Linked DNA regions of Bombyx mori. Each later gene encodes a partner of the first gene's protein in a complex. Links are inferred from orthologs where the notes say so. Each region holds a gene or a part of one and is shown on either strand. Other genes may lie near its edges. The genes, in order: pre-mRNA-processing factor 17 and pre-mRNA-splicing factor RBM22.

Region 1 (11,330 bases):
ACGGCTAAGACCTTTGAATACCACCAAGGAAAGAGTTGGGATGATGTTTTTAGACACTAAGCATATAACCTAAACAGACCTAGACGGGAGATTGTATGTGTTCGGTCTGTGTTGTTTTAAACAAATTTAAATTGATTTTTGGGTAACGTTTCTGGCTTTTAAAATGAAACACCTAAATTAAAGACGCGACCGACGCATAAAACGCCAGTTGTACTCATATCCATCGATTTTACCATGCTGGTGCGCAAAACCAGCAGGCAGGTAATTTTCTAATGAAATACGTACGTAACAAATGTTTAGGAAAGTTTCCTCCTCAAAAAATATTTGCCAAATTACTGATTTCTACCTGGCTTGGGCAATTACCACAATCCTGCCTATTTCTGCCATGTAGAAACTATGCGTTCCAGTTTGAACTGGTACACCATAACACTTATTACTATACAGTTGAGACTTAGAACTCATGTCTACTTGAAAAATAATTCGCAATGTCTATGGGCTATACACCATAGTAAATGAACTTGGTGAGCCGTGGCCTCAATCCCCTGCCAAGACAGTAAAACCTGCCATTTCATCGTTATAGGCTTTTTTATATCTAATTATCCAACAAACATAGGCATAGATTAACATGGCACTTGCTTGAAAATATAAAACAATTCAGCTGATAAAATGTTTTTATTATCAAATCCTAATTTAAAAAAGACTCTTAGCTAGAGTAGTACTTGTTATCGGGTCAATTTTTTAAATAATTAGAACAAGTAATACAGATAAGTTACCTCATTAGTGATATTGAGTTTTGTAAAAGAAAGGGTATGACAACTATACAGTCAATTTATGGATCACAATTGAAATAATTTAAAACTACAAAGTTAGATTAAAACATTTATTTTAAACAACGATATGAACAAAAAAAACTTGTTAAGAAAACTATAGTAATTTCAAACATGATACAAGTTTACCATAATTATAAATTAAAAATTATAATTTTAAACATAAGTAAAGCCTGATTAGTTACTTCGAAACCCTTAGTTTATTCAATATCATAACTAGGAAATTGACTGCTGGATATTTGTAGGCCGCTGTCATTAAGGTTGCTTTGAATACTGTCAATACATTAGCCAGCAAGTAACCACCTATAGCTCCAAGGTAGCAAGGAATCGGCCACTGCTGCCATGGAGTATTCCAGTCCAGGGGTATCACTACAGCCCCCAGCCATGCGCCGCATACGGTTAGCATGGCATTATTCACTAGCATCTCGACCACTGTGTCCCTGGCAAAGCTCTTCACACCAAACAATAGTTGCATAGAACATTCCACACCAGAATGAAGTATGAGGGGAAATATTGTGAGTATAGTTAAGAGCGTGGATAACATCAATGTTTCTTCATGTAAGTCTAATACAGGCGCGCCAAAAAGTATTATTCCAATAAAGAAACAAAAGTTAACACCTAGGAGAAACACAAACGATTTGAGGACGTCGCTTGCTTTCGTTTTACTGGTCTTGCCTTTCTTTCCTTGTATATCATTCGGGGCGCTAAGATAAAACGACTTCAGTAATTCGGCAATGAATATTAGTACCAAAATATAAAAAGAAGATCCTTTGCCCACATAGTAGAGCGACCCTCTATACGATATAACAGTCACAATACTAGGCAAGTAAATACATGTAATAAGGCTTGATATTGTTATTCGACGTAATTCTAATTGGGTATTAAACGCAAACATTTTAGTGTATCTATAATACTATTTATTACTAACACTATTTATTGTTTAACTTTTAAATTGCCAGTTTGTTTCCATTTGTTACATGTGTGACTTCATTTCATTATCAATTTATCTTGGTCTGTCAATTGATCAATTCAGTAGTAGTAGTTTTATTTTTCCAACTGGAAAGGTAAGGATGTCATAACATACAGCTCAATCTATTATATTATATTCATTTATTTTATTTAATATGAAACACGATAATATGAAATGAATTATGATGCGAAGATATGGGATGAAATATAATCTCGGTAAAATAGTGGTCATTTACTGAGACTCTTTCAGTGGACTTTTTGGAGGATCCCGAGAAGTTATGTCCAGCAGCTTTATTTTATTTTCCCACATTTGTGCAATTTCACAGATACTAAACAGTTGATAAACCACCGCCAAAAAGTCCCAGATTTTCACATTGGCATTACACCGGTCACTCACATGCGCACGAATACGCAAACCCGCAAATGTAGAACGACATTTGCAAATGATTATGCAAAGTTTTCGCTGCATTCGTGGTTTTCCAAGCTGTGTCGTTTTTTTAAAAGACATCAAAGCGCGCGAACCTCGAACCTTCACGTAGTCTCCCACACATTCGCTTGCCCAGTTGCGCCGACGATTGCGAAGGTAACGGACGTATCGCCATTTTCATAGTTCGTGACGTCTACTGTGTAGCGTATCTTCATCAAAAGAAATCCCATAAAAACAGCATAGCTGTTAATGATGTCTGGGAAAGAATTCAAAAATCTTTTTCTTTTCAATGTTCTATTGACGAATTAAAAAGGAGGAGAAATTCGTGAGACATTCGTAAACAAGTGTAGGAGGAAGCGCAAACGGGTTCGCAAATTGAGTATGCGAACCCATTTGCACAGCTGCTAAGTTTGCGAATGAATGTTTGACGGCCCTTCACATGAGCGCAAACATTCGTACAATGTACGAATATTTGCCCGCATGTGAGTGGCCGGCATTAGAAATATTGTGTATTATCTATGCATTAAGACTGAATTGACAGGACTTTTTGGCGAGAGCACGAAGAGTGAACTTGTATGATTTGGTTTTTTTGTCTATTTAATATTTCTTCAGGTTTAAATGTGTACTAACGATGATTTATTAACTGTTTAGTATTTGTGAAAATGCATAAATATATATATGAAATTAGACTGTATGGTACTACACCTTTGCTTTTCCAGTTGGAAAAATAAAGCTATACTGTCAAAACTTCATTCAGCATCAAAATCTATTTAGTCGATTGTGAATTTAAGTTTCATAAATTACAACTAAAACTAAATTTTACTGAATTACAAAACAAGTTAAGAATTATCATGGATAAAAGTAATGCAATTATTAAATAAATTTCTTCTTAATATACTTTTGATACAATTAAATCGTTCAATATTGTTGATATTTAATTCCAAATGACATTAGCTATTTGGCAACACTAAGCTTACGAAATCAAATCAAAATAAATTTTGTAGTGTGTATGACTGCGGGAGCTCAGCAAAAGTACGTTCAAATCGATATGACGACACAAACTTTATAAATGAAAGTCGCTGTCAGCTGAGCTCCCAGTTGATCGGTCACAGACCACAGTGGAACGTTCGGCTACAGTGAGAGCCAACGTTTAGTTATCCTTAAATAAATTATTTCCAACTTCAACAAGTTTCATAAGTGTTTTGTGTCATCGATTACATAAAAATCGTAAAATGCCTTGTCCGTTTTTGGGATCGTTGAACCAAGCGTTCGTGAAAAATTATGGTGCGACCCTGATGAAGCAGTACGGAAATTATTGCCCGATTATATCTCGTGGATTTCGTTCTTTGGGAAATGACGAAACCAAATGCCCCTTCATTCAGCAAAACTCTATCATTTCGGAAGCTCCTAAGGAAATGACCGAGGACATCGCGGAACCTGCGACTCCGTACCACTACGAGAACTTTTTCCACGACCAGATCAACGCTAAAAAAAGGGACTACTCCTATCGCGTTTTTAGAAAGGTGTCTCGTTTGGCTGCTGATGGAGTATATCCGAAAGCCCTGGAGGGGCCTGAAAATCGTAGAGTAACTGTCTGGTGTGCCAATGATTACTTAGGGATGTCCCGTCACCCAACTGTGCAGGATGCTGCTGTCAACGCTATCAAATCCTATGGAACAGGAGCAGGTGGTACAAGGAATATTGCTGGAAACTCCCAGATGACTGAGAAGCTTGAAGGAGAAATTGCAAAACTGCATAAGAAGCCTGCAGCATTAATATTTAGTTCTTGCTTTGTAGCTAACGACGCTACTTTATCTACATTAGCAAAAATACTGCCTGATTGCATAGTTTACTCGGATGCAGGAAATCATGCTTCTATGATACAAGGAATCCGGAACAGCCGAGCCCCTAAGCATATCTTCAGGCACAACGATCCAAACCACCTACGGAAGTTATTGGCCGACTCTCCCAAAGGTGTACCAAAGCTAGTTGTATTTGAAACTGTTCATTCCATGAGTGGTGCTATATGTCCTTTAGAAGAAATGTGCAATATAGCACATGATTATGGAGCTTTAACTTTTGTTGATGAAGTGCATGCTGTTGGCTTGTATGGAAAACATGGTGCGGGTATAGGAGAAGAGAGAGGTTTGCAAGACAAAATAGACATTGTATCGGGGACACTGGGAAAGGCTTATGGTAATGTCGGAGGATATATCGCAGGTTCCTCCCTCCTGGTGGACACTATAAGGTCTCTAGCACCGGGTTTCATTTTTACTACAGCATTACCGCCACCGGTTCTGGCTGGCTCCCTGGCAGCTATAAGGCTTTTAGCTAGTGAAGAAGGACGGAATCTACGAGCTAAGCACCAGGCCATAGTGCGCTATTTGAAACTGTCATTGCTCGTGGCCGGTTTGCCACAGTTACCATCCGTGAGTCACATAGTGCCCGTTCCTATCAAAGGGGCCGATAAAGTGGCCCTCGTTGCCGAATCTCTAATGAAGAGGGGCCACTACGTGCAGGCTATCAACTATCCCACGGTGGCGCGCGGCGATGAGCGGCTGCGGTTCGCGCCGGGCCCCTACCACACGCCCGAAATGATAGACAACCTGATCACGGCACTCATTGAATCATTCCATGAGAATAACATACGCTTCAGTGAGTTTATGATAAACGGCACTTGCCGCGAATGCAGCATGGAGTACAAGGTGGACATCGGCTACGAGGAGCCCCTCAAATACCCGATGCAAGTCGCCTAGACCTTGACCTTGACCTTGAACTAGCGAAATTTTTATTTATTTGAATTATTATGGTTGATGGTTAGGGAAAAAAAAATTAAATGCATGGCAATGGTTTTGATTGTTTTATTCAGTCCCAGTATTTGATGGCGCCGTCCCAGCCCGCGGTAAGCAGCTTGCTGGGCTCATGTGGGTGCCACAGTGAGGTTATGCAAACTCCGTCGTGAGCTTTCCACTTCTTATAAAGCTTCGTCGTCTTCCAATCCCAAATGTAGCATTTCCCGTCCGCGTCACCCGACACCAAATAACTGTAAACAATTAGGAAAGATTAATTATTAAATACACAATTAACAATTTAATTATTGCATTTCACATACAACTGCCTCTTATTAAAATTTCTGTTGATAAACTATTTAGGAGTGTAATGATGAAACAACTATAGGCTACAATTGAGACATCTCACCCTTTTTTTATTTATTTTATTGCTTAGATGGTTGGACGAGCTCACAGCCCACCTGGTGTTAAGTGGTTACCGGAGCCCATAGACATCTACGACGTAAATGCGCCACCCACCTTGAGATAAGTTCTAAGGTCTAAGTATAGTTACAACGGCTGCCTCACCCTTCAAACCGAAACGCATTACTGCTTCACTGCAGAAATATGCAAGGTGGTGGTACCTACCCGCGCGGACTCACAAGAGGTCCTACCACTAGTAAAACCTCATGTCGACTGGACAGAAGAAAAAAATAGTAAAATATATCCTTTACGTTGACGGTTTTTAAGAGCATAATGATTATAAAATCATTTGTTCGTTAAAATCATTATATAATATATCTCAAAAGTAGCTGCCATAATAAGGAAAGTATTCCAGCACACAGCATTTGACCTAAAGAAACTTAAAGAGCAATTATTGAATCAGCACTTATACGCACGTAATAACGAAATTAACTACAAAAACCTTCAATTTAAAACAAAGGGGAGAAAACGAGAATGACCTCAATAAATAAGGTCGTCTGTAGAATTAATTCATTAGAATAAACCACGTATTCGTACCAAGTATTACAAAAATATTGTTCTACGATCTAGTTCTTTGATGACAATATGAATCAACATTATTATTTTTTGCCTATCTAGTGCTAGTAACCTCGAGGGGTTATGCTAGTATGGTTTAGTTCACGGGAATTAACCTGGCAACTTTGCTAACATCTGCCCTAGCAAGAGAATTAACAATAAGTTCACTATTTCACATACCGGCAACTAATAACTTAAGGTTTTTTTTTTAATATTACTATTCAAAAAATTCTGAACTTATTCCTTATATTTCAAGTTAATACATGGATATTAATGAACAGATTACGATCAAAAAAAGCGGCTTAGAAACTGGGTACGTCTAAATAAGGCCATTATATAGTAACTTTTGTGCTGAGTAAATGTGAATAGAATTCTACGGATGGCGGGGAGACATGCGTCGGTAACTTTGCCACCAGCCCGTCTCGGGTGAATTTGTCTGGTCTGAGCCTGGTTATTGAGAGATAGGGGATTTTAATCGGTTTAATTACGACATGCCCGGTCTATCGGTCATAAAATGCTGGCGGAAATCCGGTGATGTAAAAAAAAAAAAAAAAATCTTAAGACGTTTACGGTGATTCTGAGCGCATGTTCTTCATATTTAATTGGAAGAGTTTTTAGCTGTTAGCGGCTTGTCTGTGCCTCGAGAATTTCTGACGTCCATGAACCAACACTCACCAACATGTCCCTCGTCTGTCTACAGAGACAATTAAAAAGGGCCAGTTGTATTTTAGCAACTCGTGTTAAATAACCATGGCATGAAAAATGCCTTCGTTAGTTATGGCCCCTTTCGTCATAACGATAAAGAGGTCACTGTTTTTTTTATCAACAACACATCACTGTTGTATGCCTAATCTAATACAACTTTGACTACACAGAACGTACAAAAATATCGGTTTATGTAATGGTCAAACCAAATTAAAGTATTTTTTATTATTCAAGTGTTTCCATTATTATGGAAATAACCACGGACATTTATTCCCCCAATGTCGAGTGGATAAAGAGATACGTCATTTATAATTGTTCATTGATCGGTTATGAACGGATGTTACTGTATTGAAAAATATATGGCATTGGTATGATCCTAAAATTACGTCAGCCAAAAGTGTACACTAATAACAAACTACATAGAAACATTTGAACAAGTTAAACAAGCATTTCTCATTTCACGATAATTAACTAAGTCATTAACTTTATGAAGTGAAACGAGGTAACGTTTGGTAATAAAAAAAGGAATGAATATACATTGTCATGTTTAGTATCACCGAAGTAATAAATGCTGACACAAATCGATACCACGAAATATACCTAGTTTAAAACTCAATAAAGACTACAAAAGATACATAGTTACCTAACTGTTTATCAAACTGTGAATGGGTTATTGAACTCCGAATAATTGCATACCTACCTACTGGTTTTTTTTTCCTTTTCTTTCGATAAGACCGATTGGTAATAAAACCCGATAATAGTCCAGCAATTGAACGCAAGTATCGGGAGGTCGCTATTTCGACACTTTCTCTTGTTGATTTATATGTAATCAGAATTAGTTTGGCATACTAAAAGTTAACGGCAATTGTGACATTAATAACGATTAGCTAAAACAGACCTACATTTTACTAATCTAAGATTAGAAAAACTATAACCATCGTACTGATGAAACGCATCCAAACCTTTGTTTATCAGATGATAACCCCTATCAATGTATCTTATCGAGGCATCAAGCCAAAATTTTAGTAGCCGCTGCCAAAACCGTGAGCCGTTTAGCAATACGCGCCTTTACATAATAGTCACGGGGTAAAAACGTGATTGTCGCATCTAAAATAGTCCAACATTCTATTAACGTAGTATTTTGTAACAAATATTATCGGGCGTGCACCCCGCAACTCTGTAAATAGCTTTAACGGTAAAAAGTAAATAAAACTTTTCTTTAGTCACGGGGTAACAACGTGATTGTCGCATCTAAAATAGTCCAACATTCTATTAACGTAGTATTTTGTAACAAATATTATCGGCCGTGCACCCTGCAACTCTGTAAATAGCTTTAACGGTAAAAAGTAAATAAAACTTTTCTTCTCCGAAAGTTGATGGACCTAAAGAAATATTTTCATGATTGAGCGATTAATTTAACTGACTCCAACCTATATTATTGCCGTTCGGGCATTTGCAAAACCTTGCAGTAGAACAGCGACCATCCTTGTGCATTAAAAGACACGTTTCAAAAACATTTTAAAAATTATGTTTTTTTTTTACGCTATTTCAGCGTAACCTTAACTAGTAGGTGAGCTCACGGGGCTCAAACCGGAGTGATGCTAACACTGACCCTAGCAAGAGCAGTTCTTCGCAGAATCTACCACCGGATCGGAAACGCGACCCACTGAGAAGATCCGGCGAGAAACTCAGTGGGCTGGGTTTTGTTGATGCACAAATCCACTAATCATCCAATAAAAAATCTATGGGAGATCGAAATGGTGCAGTCGGCGAGTGATACAATATAAAATGTAATTTTCCTTGTAATTCCTTTAGCAGGGTCAGCGATCCATTTTCTAGATTAAACAATTATAAGAACTCACAGACAGTGAGTCTTATCTTTGGTCCTGACCTTATTTTTGGTGGTGACCTTATCTTTGGTCTTGGTTTTTTTTTTTGGGGATGTAACTAACTTTGATTTTGGCGGATGGATGATCTGGGCGAGAAACTCAGCGGGCTGATTCGTTCGTGTCTTTGGTCAGAGCACGGCGCAAACTTATCAACGCGACTCTTTTAGACGTGTTGGAGGTATGAGGTATTTTATTTTATTGCCCGTGTAGGCAGACGAGTACATGGCCCATGTTATGGTGAGTGGATACCGTCGCCCACGGACTTCAATAATGCCAGGGCAGAGCCAAGCCGCTGTCTACCGCTTAATACTCCCTACAAGCCTCGTTTAAAGAAGCTATACGGGAGTCTAAGGAGCAGAACAATAAATATATAAAAACCCAGAACGGAATACATAATGACTGAACTAATATAATGACCATCATTACAACATTAATTGGATTTTGATTGAATAACCACGTAATCTATTTGTGCAATGTTTCGTGTTTACTAATGACGCACTTTAGCATTCTGCACAAGAAATACATGGGCGTTACACCAAAGCGAATTCGAACAGGAAAATAGTTTGGACGAGAAACATAGAATTTTATAGTGCTTAAGTTTGTCTTCGTGAAGGAAACTATAGTTTAAATACAGTACGCGTATCAATCAATCGATCCATAAATTGATTTTATAAAACAAACGATACTGTAAACAGTTTGCAGTGTCCAGACAAAACCGGATCCAAACAACAAAACAATTAAAAAAGTTGTCCTAATATAATATATACTAATTGAATTAAAATGTACATTAGATTACTGTTTTGTTGAAATATTAATAGAAAATGCTAAATAATTGCTAATGCTAATTACAAACGAACATTCTTTTAAATATGCAAAAGTACTTAACAAATGTCTACGAATGACTTCCACGGTGAAGGAATAACAGCGTGTAATAAAAATCAAACCCGCAAAATTATAATTTGCGTAATTACTGGTCCGCGCGGGTAGGTATCACCACCTTGCCTATTTCCTCGAGACCTTAGAACTCGTATCTCAAGGTGGGTGGCGCATTTATGTTGTAGATGTGTATGGGTTCCAGCAACCACTGAACAATAGGTGGGCTGTGAGATCGTCCACCCATTTAAGCAAAAAAATACAAGTCTTTGATGTAGCAGCTTGATATAGTAGATAGAATCTGTTTTATGGCGAATTGTACCTCGTTCTATAACAAAAGATTACAGTCGAAACTATTTCTCAGGTCCTATGAACTAACGTCCACACGAAAAACTAGATTGGTGTAAACTTCACCTGGGCGACCTAGTCACATACTTATTATTGACCACTATTTTTGTTAACAGCTACTTTCAAATCAGCTTCTCTTTAAATTAGTTTACTTCGAATAATTCCCTTAACACACTGATGTTACGTAATATAATAATATGTAGAATAATTATGTATTAAATAATCTTTAACGATAACGTTGTTAATAATATCTATTTGAAAGATTTTGTTTGTTTCCATAGCTTACCGTCTGGAGATAATGAGGTTAGAATATACTTTTAAACTGCTTCGTAGGAAAAAACAATGCGCGCAAAAGTAATGTTTACGAAGCCATCTTGTTATCTAAGGGCGAAACTAGGGATAAGCCGGCTTTGCACCAAAATATATTTATTATCTTTTAAATAAATTGCAAAACACATTTAAGCAAGAATATGAAAAATTGTGGATTAAGATTCTTTTGCGCTGACGGCCTCATTTTCAGTTTATTAAGTTTTTTTTTTTTTTTTTTTTTATTGCTTAGATGGATGGACGAGCTCACAGCCCACCTGATGTTAAGTGGTCACTGGAGCCCATAGACATTTACAACGTAAATGCGCCACCCACCTCTAAGTTACTAGCGACCCGCCCTCGCTTCGCTTCGGAAACATTAAAACAAACAGGAAACCAAAAAAAAAAAATTAAAAAAAATTAAAAAAAAGTAGCCTATGTTCATCAGGGACAATGTCGGCTTCTAATGGAAAAAGAATTTTTCAAATCGGTCCAGTAGTTTCGGAGCCTATGCGAAACAAACAAACAAACAAATCTTTCCTCTTTATAATATTAGTATAGATATAGATTGTAGTAGTAATATTGAAACAAAACATATTCAACGTGAATTAAAACGGATATTCTACCAAACTTGTTCCCCATAGTGCGACTTACCCATTCTCAATTCAACCTTAAAATAGTGTGGTATAAGATTTGAATTCCAAACTCTGACGCTTGTACGGTATCTTCTAAAATCGATTCGTTTAATGGATTATTGGCATTCTTTACGCGTTACGTATTGATAACACGTAGTAAAAAATGTATCAGATTTTTTGGCGTAGATAAGTCTTAAGCGAAGTGAAGTTTTTTACTGGTGGTAGGACCTCTTGTGAGTCCGCGCGGGTAGGTACCACCACCCTGCCTATTTCTGTCGTGAAGCAGTAATACGTTTCGGTTTTAAGGGTGGGGCAAACGTTGTAACTATACTTGAGACCTTAGAATTTATATCTCAAGGTGGGTGGCGCATTTACGTTGTAAATGTCTATGTGCTCCAGTAACAGTTGAGGTATCAGTTTCTCTCACAAAACCTCACTAACTTCGATATCCAATAAAGCATGTTCTCTTCTATTTAATTAATTCAAGAAAATTTGTCTTTGACCGTCAGAAATAAACTACTTTATAGGCGGACCGCTCATTATAA
Region 2 (11,256 bases), on another chromosome or scaffold:
TTATAGGTTACAATTTTGTGGGTATTTAGTAAATTACTATAGGCGCTGTTAGGCTCTGACAAGTACAAAAAGCCAGAGTTGAGCTTTTCTGGCTATATAGAATATTTTTTATAAGAAACTAACAATTGAAAACTGATGATACTACACAAATTATTATTTTCAATACACTTTTCAATAATGCAAAGTATATAATTTTTTTAGGAATAACTAATGTTATATTATATCAATGGTGTACTTTAAATAATGTTTATGTTTTATGTTTATTTATTTGCTTCCTTTATTATTTTTTAAACTTCTACAAAGTAACTTTTCTACATTTCATGTGGGCAAATTGAGAAATGATACGATTCGTATCAATTTCTCTGAGCAAATCATATTCTATATTCATCAAAGCGAGATAATTCAATAACAGAACTTTATTTTAATTGATTGTTTGTTACGATACTCGATGGCAATGTTAGGGAATCCCCGGTTAATTTTTCAATGTTACCAACTTCGTTCGCGAATCATTTGCATTGGTCGGGTGTCCATTGTAGCGATAAGGGGTAGGATACCTATTATTATATTTAAAAAAAAACATGCGTGAGATTCTTGCGTCTAGAATTTAAACTTCTTTGGTTCTGGAAATAGTTTATTTTATGCATTGCTCCTGATGCATTTGATAATGATCTTACTATATAAAGATTACGAAATGGTTATGAAAAATTCAATTGGAGGAAATCTCTAATAAAATATTTTTTTTTTAGTCATAGCTTCTATATCTCAATATACACTATATATAAATAGATAATAAGTTTTTGGTATATGGTTACTAAATTATACTAATATTAATGTAGACTGTTAATCTTACAAATAAATATATAATTTTAACAACTTAAATCGAGCCATCTCAATTCTGCTACACATCCACACTGTGTCGGGTAAGAGTGCTTGCATACGTCAGACTTTTGTAGAGCTGATTATCAGGCTGATTGAAATTCTACACGTTTATACAAACAACTTTTTCTTAATAAGTCACTCAAAAAATTAAGCTCGGGCAGAGATGAGTGGGTTTAAATATGCGGGGCCCCCGTTCGCGCGGGGCCCGTAGCAGTTGCTACTCTTGCTACATGGTTAATCCGGCACTGGTTAGAGGTAGGTAGTAATTAAAGAAGTTTTAGGTCTTGCGAGGTTAACGACCTTTTGTGACACGTGGGCTATGTCCGCCAGCTGTTTTGTTTTAGCTTATGCATTCACCATATATGAACTTGCTATTACTTTAAGTACTAAGCTATTATTTCTTTTTTATTGCTTAGTTGGGTGGACGAGCTCACGGCCCACCTAGTGTTGAGCAGTTACCGAAGCCCATAGACATCTACAACGTAAATGCGCCACCCACCTTGAGATATAAGTTCTAAGATCTCAGTATAGTTACAACGGCTGCCCTACCCTTCAGACCGAAACGCATTACTGCTTCACGGCAGAAATAGGCAGGATGGTGGTACCTACCCGTGCGGACTCACAAGAGGTCCTACCACCATACATACAAACCATATTTGTTTCCCAGGTAAAAAAGAATGGAAAATTCAAAATCGAAGAACAATTCGTGTGAACGAAGTCTTTAATAATTGACTATAATTATGACAACCTTCTTTCAATAAGGATGGACAGCTCGAACACTTAATTTATGAAACATAATAACACTTTAAAACACGTTAAAATACTTGAACGGCAACATTGTTATTACTTGGCTGTGCGATCCCTATTGTAAAACTAATACAAACATAATTTTATTGTTATTTGTAATTTGTTTTATTCTTGACGAAATGTTAACATTACTCCAGCAATTATAGATAAGATTTTATTAAATACTATATATATATACTGAAAATAATTATGAACGGCTGCAGTAAGTTAGTAAGATATTGTGCAACCTATGTACTTAGAAATATTTCATTTGGCGCATTTTTTTTATATTTTAATGTCATATTTTAAAGCGCATTTATTCAACGTTCGATTATTATTAGACTATTACCGGACGAGACGAGAGCTTACAAAATATGCTTTAAGAAAATAATATCCAATAAACACCCAAGGCTTTTAATACTTTTATATTTATTGTATCGATTACATGTACCAATTGAATTTTAGCAGGCTCAATATTTGCATATCTATATTTTTGTGTCCCTATACTGTTTAATGCTAAATTATAATTTGTGATGTGGAGTTCGAAACCTTTAGCGATTTTTAAAACTAAACTTTTAGATGTGTCTAACATTCCAAAGTGTACATAAATTATTAACGTCTCTAATTTAGTAGTAACTTGTATTCTCGATGTTCATTTAAATATATATATATATATATATATAGTTAATTACCGTTAATCTGAATGATCCTTCTTGCCCTTCACTGAGACTTAGATGCACAACACTATAATGTATATGTATAGAATTAGGATATGAGCATATTCTTAAAACTAGTCAACCGACTAAACAGCTTTCTGAGCCAATATTAATCTGCTTTTAAATTGTTTCATCGTCGCGACGTACAATTAGTGCGTCATCTTAATTAAGATTCATTACGTAATCTGGGCCTAGTTTAATGTAAATTATTTAACAGACCGTCCTTACCCAGAATAAATGGTAAGCGAAGGAATGTAGTTTTATCAGAATGTTTAAACTGTTTTGTAACAATTAAGTAATGTTATGAACTTATGATTAATAATAAATATAGTTTCAGAATATCTGTTTTACTTTGAAACCTTTATTGATATTAACATGAAAGAAATGTAGAAACTTATAAGAACTTTTTCATTACTAGCATTCTTTAGTTAGGTCAGTTTCATTTAATTTGAATGAAGGTCTCTAGTACTAGCAAATTGTTACGGCGTCTTTCCATCTTCTTTAGCAGTGCTCGTTTATTTAAAAATAATTCATTTAGATCACACCACCATCTTCAATTCCGTTTTTTTATTCTTTATTTTACTATTCTATAGGTATTAAGCTTGAAGGTACTGGGTCGTTTTGGGAATGGCTACTCTATATCGAACCTTACTTAAATTTATTTTTCAAATTTCACACAAAGAATACCACAAACAAACAATGCACAAATCATAGTTATTGGATTTATTCACGTTTAACAAGCATCGTCATAATTTAAAGTTCATGACTATGAATTCTATTAGCAACTGCTAAATTTGCGGCGCGTTGGTGTGTGCGTGGGCCCCGAGACGCGCGGGGTCCTGGCTAGGGTAGTGCAGGCGGAGCGGGGCCGGGAGCGGAGCCGGAGGCGGGGGCGGCGCCATGCCAGGCGGACCCCACGGTCCCCAGCCCGGACCACCATAGTGGTGCAAGTTGAAGAAATCGTTCGGACGGTTCGGGGGTGGTGGCATCTGAACACAGAATTTACAAAATATTACAAATACGGTCTCTAAGTTTTGTTTATTTTTATTGCTTAGATGGGTGAACGAGCTCACAGCCCACCTGGTGTTAAGTGGTTACTGGAGTCCATAGACATCTATAACGTAAATGCGCCACCCACCTTGAGATATAAGTTCTAAGATCTCAGTATAGTTACAATGGCTGCCCTACCCTTCAGACTGAAACGCATTACTGCTTCACGGCAGAAATAGGCAGGGCGGTGGTACCTACACGCGCGGACTCACAAGAGGTCCTACCACCAGTAAAGCTAAGTACCACCAGTAAAGTAGGCTTTGTTCAGTATCCTTTGAAGAAAAGTAAAATATTTTACATAGAATTTAAAACATTTTTACACTAACTTGTGGCGGGAATGGATGTAAATATGCAGGGGGTGGTGGCAACGTCCCAGGCAATCCAGGAACTGGTTCCAACATGGGTACACCATCATTCTTCTCAGTAAGTCCTTGTCGTCCTGTTATATACAACAACATTACACACTCATAAATATTACGAAATATAAACTTTTACTATCATATTACAGATTGAGGTCTTTAAATTATACTAGTTTGAGTACAAACCTCATTTCAGAAAATAACTTGCAAAAAACATATTGAATACTTTTTCATAAATGTAGTGTATTCTAACATTTTGTAGTTACCAGGTACTCTCTTAGAAACTTGCACAATGCAATAATAATGTTTTGTTACCTTGCGATTTACCCCATTTGATTGTCAGTCTCTTGCCAAAAATAACAAGACGATTGAAAGTCTTTTCTGCAGCATGTTCTGCAGCATTTCTTGAAGTATATTGCACAAAGGCACACTGGGCTCGAGGTACAAGAGTCAAACATCTGAAAATTCAATAACTTCTAACATAGTGCTAATTTTATCAAACAAGTCTAGAATAGTGATTTGTTTTCTAATGATACACACATTTCTAATGACAACATCACACCATTAATTTCATCAGCCTTGTGATGATGATCAAAATCTCAATTACATTAATAGATAATAAAAAAATACAAGGGAATACTACTGTGAACTGATGAGAAAAATGGTTGTAGCAACTTAAGATAACCACCAATCAGATATCGGTCTTATTTTAAAAACCATAATACTAGGGATGTACTATGGTTTACTTGGTACATAATCCTTAAATTAAATATTAGTTAGTCAACTCTGAACATATGAGAATACTTTACATTAGCTGCATAATTTAAATAAAAAAATATTTAGATTATTAAAACATAATTAAGATATATGCAGTGTATATCACCAGACACAATTATGAGTTTATTTCTATGAACTGTTTGTTTCCAGAGCATTGTTATTTGTTGTGTTAACTTGTCAAACTTACCTAATTTCACCATATTGGTAAAAGTGGCCTCTAAGCTCGTCCTCAGTGACATTATCAGGAAGATTACCAACATACAAGGTAGTAACAGTTTTGTCTTCAGGTGGAGGTAGAGCAGGCATTGCAGCAGCACGACGCATAAGCTTCTCAGCTACTGGATCATTTACACCATAATACCTGTGAATAAAAAATTATGAAACCTTCAACTTTTTTTTTAGAAACACTAACAGCTATTTACTGTAAAATATCAAGAGATATTCAATAACAACTATGATATTGCTGTTATTTCACATACTATTATTACAATGGAGTTTCAATAACTTAAGCCTCATTAATTCGCAATCTTTAGTCAGGATTTGGTTCATTTTTGGAACTCAAATGAATAATTGATCAAAATCTATGAATACCTTAAATCGAAAGACTTTTTGTAATGCAATTTACTAAAATTCCACTTTACAAAGACGTGTTTATTTTTATTTTCACTAAGCAGATGTACAGAAAACTTATGTGACTAACCTGTCTTTAATGTTCTGATCAGCTAGTGGATCATCAGGATCTGTTGGCTTCTCGTGACGATACGGACATTCTTCCCCTCGTCTACATTCTCCTTTGACCCAAAACGAGCACACGTGCGGTCTATTCCTCTTATAATATGGAGCTGTTCTAGCTAACCGCACCAACAAATCGGACGATCCTTTAGATTTTAGAGAATTGGTTGGCTGTGTTGGATCAGAGTTAGACAGCTGACTCTCCAAGTTTTGTATGTAATATTCCTTGTTTACTTCGTTTCGAGGTAGGTCATCCTGAACTTTTAATGCAGCATCTCTCACTTGGATTGGCAGACCATATTCCAAATCCAATAAACATGTTTGACAAACATTTTTCAGTTTCGAACAGGTCTGACATATTTCTGTTTTCTTGAAACGCATTCTTGCTCCGGGACACCATCGAAACACTGTGAAAGGTCTTGAGCATATTTTACATTCTTTACCGTATTTTTCTTTAGTCTGAAAATAGTTAAATGAAAAAAAACAATCAAAGTTGTCGAAATAATGTTATCGGAAACCACAATACATACCATTCTAATGTAAGGGTTATCTCCAAGACATGTTTGGCACAATATTGGAAAATCCTGCAAAAATATAACATGGTTACTACCACAATGAGATAATGATAATTGATAAGCTTCAACAATATACTCACGGCGTCTTCCCAATTCTGACGATTGTATGTGTTTGTTGACTTCGATGTAGCCATGGCGTGTCCTTTCTTGATATTATTTTAGATTCAACGCAGCTTAACTGTGACAAAAATAATTGTTGAATTGAAATGTAATTTGTATTGTAAAGTTGAAATGTAATTTAGTTTAAATTACCCTATCAAACAAAACACTTCTTTCCCATTTCTACATGCAACTAAATCACAAAAGTATTTAGTTACCAAGGTACGTCATTGAACATTCATTTTGTAATGACAGATTTTCACTCTGAACGAACAGCACTGAAAGTGTATAATCTATGGCACTGAACCGTCGACAGTCGACACTGGGATGAACATAGAGATTATTGATTTTTTTCGCTTAAACAGACAAAGAAATCAAGAGCATACAGTTCTTTTGCAATGGAAAGTAAAGCCAAGCCTATTCTATGTAGAATTAAGAAACTCTATGACTAAAGTAGTTGAACTACTTGGACTTCAAAGGAAATCAATTCAAATAATCTTTCAGTAAAAGGGGAATTCTCTGCAGGAAATGCAAATTTCATAGGAATTAAAAAATATCAAAAGAGCGGTGCTACTAAGAGCCATTTCCTCAGATCACTAATATCGTTAATTTGCTACTACTACAACACTTACGTAATTTGACTAAAATTGTTCAACAAGTCAACGAAGCTATAAAATGCTATATCAATTTCCAGTTTTCAGCTTTATAAGTCAAATGGCCGTCACTGCCGGCGTTGGAACACCAGGTCGATGTTTCCATTCTTTTTCCACTTTTTAAATAAATAAAAAACTTCATAGCGAAATAGAAAGACTCTTGGTACTTAACCGTACTAGGTTATGTTATGGTGAGCTGAGCAGAAACAGTGAAACAGTGTAGAATTAGCAATGTTTCTCAGGTTGTTTGAGTTTTGAGTTCTTTCTGTGTTTAACTTCTGTTTTTACTACTTTCTATTAATTTTCATTACATTTCGAATAATCACCTTCAGGTCTTATTATGATTACTGGTGGTAGGACCTCTTGTGAGTCCTTATGGGTAGGTACCATCGCCCTGCCTATTTCTGCCGTGAAGCAGTAATGCGATTTGAAGGGTGGGGGCAGCCCTATACTTGAAACCTTAGAGCTGATATCTCAGGTGGGTGGCGCATTTACGTCGTAGATGTCTATGGGCTCCAGTAACAGGTAACACCAGGTTTGCTGTGAGCTCGTCCACCCAACTATGCAATAAAAAAAATAGAATACTTAATTCTGGATAGTTATTGATCTATTACTTAAATCTTACGATGAAATTTTATAACTAAAATCCCATAACGAATAAATGTACTACTGAGAGAGGGCACATGAGAAATTAATTAGAAAAGTATTAGTAGAATTATTGCTTGAGGAGACAAATTTGAACCTAATACCAAACCATCTTCACGGATGGATACAAAGTTTTTTTTTGACGAGCCAACGGCCTACCCGGTGTTAAGTGGTTACCGAAGCTCATAGACATCTATAACGTAAATGCCATCACCCACTTCGAGACATCTTAGTTTTTACAGTGCAATGGCTGTTCCACCCTTCAAACTAAAACGCATTACTGCTTCACGGCAGAAATAAGTAAGGTGGTACCTACCCGTGCGGACTAACAAATCATCGTACCACCAGTATCATGGACAGTGGATACAAGCGTTTTCTCAGAGGGCAACGGTATCATACTGAAGTGTAATAGATTTGTAAGCTAGCGGGTAAAATACTTAAGGATTCTAAGATCACTGGTCAGGATCGGAAACCTGGAGGGTCTGATTGACTTCCTGTAGGGTCTGGGTTGGCATCAGTAAATATTCCCAATCTTACGGAAAAGATAAGTAATGTCTATCACGTCAAGTATTGCAAAATTGTCCACCTTTCAAGATATATGTCACACGTACATGCATATGAATCATGTTTCTTTTGCCTCATTGATTCAAGAAATTAAACTAAAAATTACAATTTCTGGCTCAGGTTTATTACTGATTTGTTTCTCAAAAAACCGGTTTTTTAAGGTATTTTTAGGTTTTTTCCATAAAGGCTAAATAATCATTAAATAAAACAAATTTACATGCAAATGAAGAGTTTTCTTCATACAATTAATAGGGTGAGCATATTTTATATAAGCTTAATGATCTTATATTATCCAATAATAAAAAGCTTTTTAGTTTTGATTTAATACTATTGTATTTTTTTCAAACTGTACTGTAGTTTTTAAATGTAATGCACGGTAATTTGAATCTCAAACACGGCATTTTTTATTTAGCAGCACGGTAGTTTGTATATTTGATCTGCTAGCAGTGGTGTGAATTGTGAATGTAACGTGTTTTTAAAAACCGATATTCTTAAATAATTTATTTATCTATAAAACCGGTTTTTCCGGTTTTCTTCAAACGCGTTACATCCCTAATTGGTACCTATGAAAAGTTGCTCAAAAAATTGTAAAATTCGAAAATTCCGAAATAATGTACACTATTTGTTTTAATTAGGAAACTAAAGGTTTTAAGATCGCGCTTCGGGCTTCTAGTAATCATGTCCATTACAACTCTGGTATAATTTAAATGTGTACATAATTCTTCAGTAATTAAACACCGGTTCCGATTTTAAGTCAAACCTTTTTTCAGTATTATTTACAATTGAAAAAAGAAAATGCACACGAGGATGCAATTTGGTGTTGTACTTGGAGTAGGATAGAACCCGAGAAACCGAAAGAAGGCGAAAATGATACAGAAAACGCAGAGGAATTACAGTAAGTAATCCTAATTCCATATGCCACTAATAAAAGCTTCAGAAATAAACTTTAAAATAAATATAATTTAGTAATTTAAAAAGATCTTAAAGTGGTAAGCATCATATGAACTTATACTGTAATAGAATATTAATTATACTAACCTGGCCTAAAGTACTAAATACAACCTATGAAACCTAAACATAATGTAACATGAAAAGAAAACAGTTTTAATATTAACTTATTGTAGTGTTATGAATGAATTATAATTGCTTGATAAATTGAAACCTTGATATTCAAGCAATATCATGATAATATTTTGATTGTAATTGTATTAAAAAAGTTAATAAATACGTGAACAGAAATTCATAAGATTCTAAAATTAACATTTTAATATTACAGGGACTCTCAGAAGGAATCCGCAGAAAATTACATTATAACCGGTGGCTTGGATGACTACATAAAAGTGTGGCAATTAGATAACGGGAAACTAGAAATTAAGCACCAGCTCGAAGGACATTCTTTAGGAGTGATTTCAGTTGCGGTTAGCCCCGATGGGAAAAGTATGTGTCAGATCTATCAAGACAATTTGGTAATATGAGTCCACTATTATCAAAGCCGGCAATCTGACTTTTGGACAATGATTGGTAAATCAGAAAAACGAATTATTGACTTTGTATTCCATTGACAGTCACAAAACTCTTCGGAACAACATCTTAGATAAATAACAGGTTAACTATTAACCTTTATTTAATGCAGGTTTTGAACCGTATTCTTTAAAGGAGATGATTATATTCAAATCAATCTGTATTGACATATCAATAAATTTTTTTTGTCCAAATGCACAGATTGCCACCTTTGATAATAGACGACTCATATAGTCTATGAAATAAATCAATAATTAACATCATCAAAATTAACCCAACTTGTGTTGAATTTTAATTGGTACACTACAAAAAATACTCATTGAGCAATAACTCTTTAACTTTTGTACATAAGCTAAATGTAATTTTAGCCTTAGCAAGCAGCTCACAGGATTCATCATTGATACTATGGAATTTGATCTCGGGTGAAAAACTAAAAATGTTTGAAACTGGACTCACCGACGTTTGGACTTTAGACTTTTCACCAGATGGAAAACATGTTATTTCTGGAAGCAATGCAGGGAAAATACTCATTTTTGGAGTTGAAAGTGGTAAACAGGAGCAAGTATTGGACACCAGGGGGAAATTCACTCTTAGTGTGGCTTACGTAAGTAATTTTAATAAATTATTTAAATAAACTACCAACTTGCCCCAGTGAGTCTTCACTTATTATCAGTATACGGAATAAAGAATACAACAGCACAGTTGTACTGTAATGTATGTATGTAAATGAGTAGATGGTCTATTAGGTATTGAATGCCTCTAAGCAATTTAATTAATTAATTTAAGAGAATTTAATAATTTTAAATTTCTGCTTTTTAGAGCCCTGATGGGAAATACATTGCCAGCGGAGCCTTAGATGGAATTATCAATATCTTTGATGTGGCTCAAGGAAAATTAGTACATACCCTTGAAGGACATGCAATGTCTATTAGAAGTTTATGTTTCTCTCCAGATTCACAGCTTTTATTGACTGGCTCGGATGATGGTCATATGAAACTTTATGATGTGTATGTGTATTTTAATATTTTTTTACTCACACTTTAGTATTGGTTTCCAAAACAAGAACTCCATCTCTATCGCTTTTTTTTCTTATCTAAGGCTAAACAGGCCTACATGAACCTATAGAATTAAGCATGTGCATTATTTGTCAGCAATTCCATCCGCAGTGTGTTAGAAGTTCACCCATCCTTTTTCGACGAATCATAAATAGAAATTAGTTTCTATTTATGATTCGTCGAAAAAGTGGCGCGACACGATAACCCTCTTATCATGGTAGCCGCAAACCATAGACCCAATCGGGAATACCAATTAGACCAGATGAACAGTCGCTGTCGCCCTAAACACATAATCTTGGACCCTCCCAATCTGCTATCTGTGCTTTTGGGCATTTCAAGCCTGATGCGATGAAGGGCTCGTCGTGCAATTTGATCCACAAACTCAGCTCAGTGAGTTTCTTTCTGGATCTCCTCCAATGGTTGCGATTCCGATCTAGTGGTAGATTCAGGGATGCACTATCTTTGCTAGGGCAGATGTTAGTAAAATCTGTAAGGCTATCGCCTATACGGTCGACGAAGCAAGCATAACTAGCAATAGGTAGGCAAAAAAAAGCTATTTACAGAGAAAGAATTACATTTTTGAAAATACCCATTAATTTATATGGCAGTGAGAGATAAAGAACTACCATCCTTAAATCTTAAATTTTATTAACGAAAACATTATACAAGTAAAAACCTATTTTTAAAGTGTTTTTTTAATTACAGAGTACATGCTAATTTAGCAGGTACATTATCTGGCCATGCATCTTGGGTGCTGTCAGTAGCATTCTCTCCAGATGGAAAGCGTTTTGTATCGGGTAGTGCAGATCGAACGGTGCGTGTGTGGGACTTAGATAGCATGCAAT

What was found.
Region 2: pre-mRNA-processing factor 17 (region 1) and pre-mRNA-splicing factor RBM22 share a complex: the UniProt entries of both Homo sapiens proteins name them as parts of the postcatalytic spliceosome P complex. The link is inferred for Bombyx mori from reciprocal best matches to the Homo sapiens genes CDC40 and RBM22.

Annotation. Positions count from the first base shown.
Region 1 is NC_085115.1:1,472,782-1,484,111, reverse strand, and holds the end of pre-mRNA-processing factor 17, read right to left. Parts: intron 5,267-11,330; coding exon 5,089-5,266; 3' UTR 5,069-5,088; downstream 1-5,068. Other genes in the region: phosphatidylinositol-glycan biosynthesis class F protein, read right to left, coding at 1,009-1,722; 5-aminolevulinate synthase, non-specific, mitochondrial, read left to right, coding at 3,456-4,979. UniProt on the Homo sapiens protein: Required for pre-mRNA splicing as component of the activated spliceosome. Plays an important role in embryonic brain development; this function does not require proline isomerization.
Region 2 is NC_085127.1:4,264,243-4,275,498, forward strand, and holds pre-mRNA-splicing factor RBM22, read right to left. Parts: upstream 6,303-11,256; 5' UTR 6,127-6,302; intron 6,053-6,126; 5' UTR 6,009-6,052; coding exon 5,955-6,008; intron 5,884-5,954; coding exon 5,830-5,883; intron 5,759-5,829; coding exon 5,268-5,758; intron 4,929-5,267; coding exon 4,755-4,928; intron 4,249-4,754; coding exon 4,106-4,248; intron 3,871-4,105; coding exon 3,758-3,870; intron 3,371-3,757; coding exon 3,170-3,370; 3' UTR 3,090-3,169; downstream 1-3,089. Other genes in the region: WD repeat domain 61, read left to right, coding at 8,514-8,531, 8,606-8,730, 9,112-9,272, 9,725-9,960, 10,176-10,363, 11,117-11,256. UniProt on the Homo sapiens protein: Required for pre-mRNA splicing as component of the activated spliceosome. Involved in the first step of pre-mRNA splicing.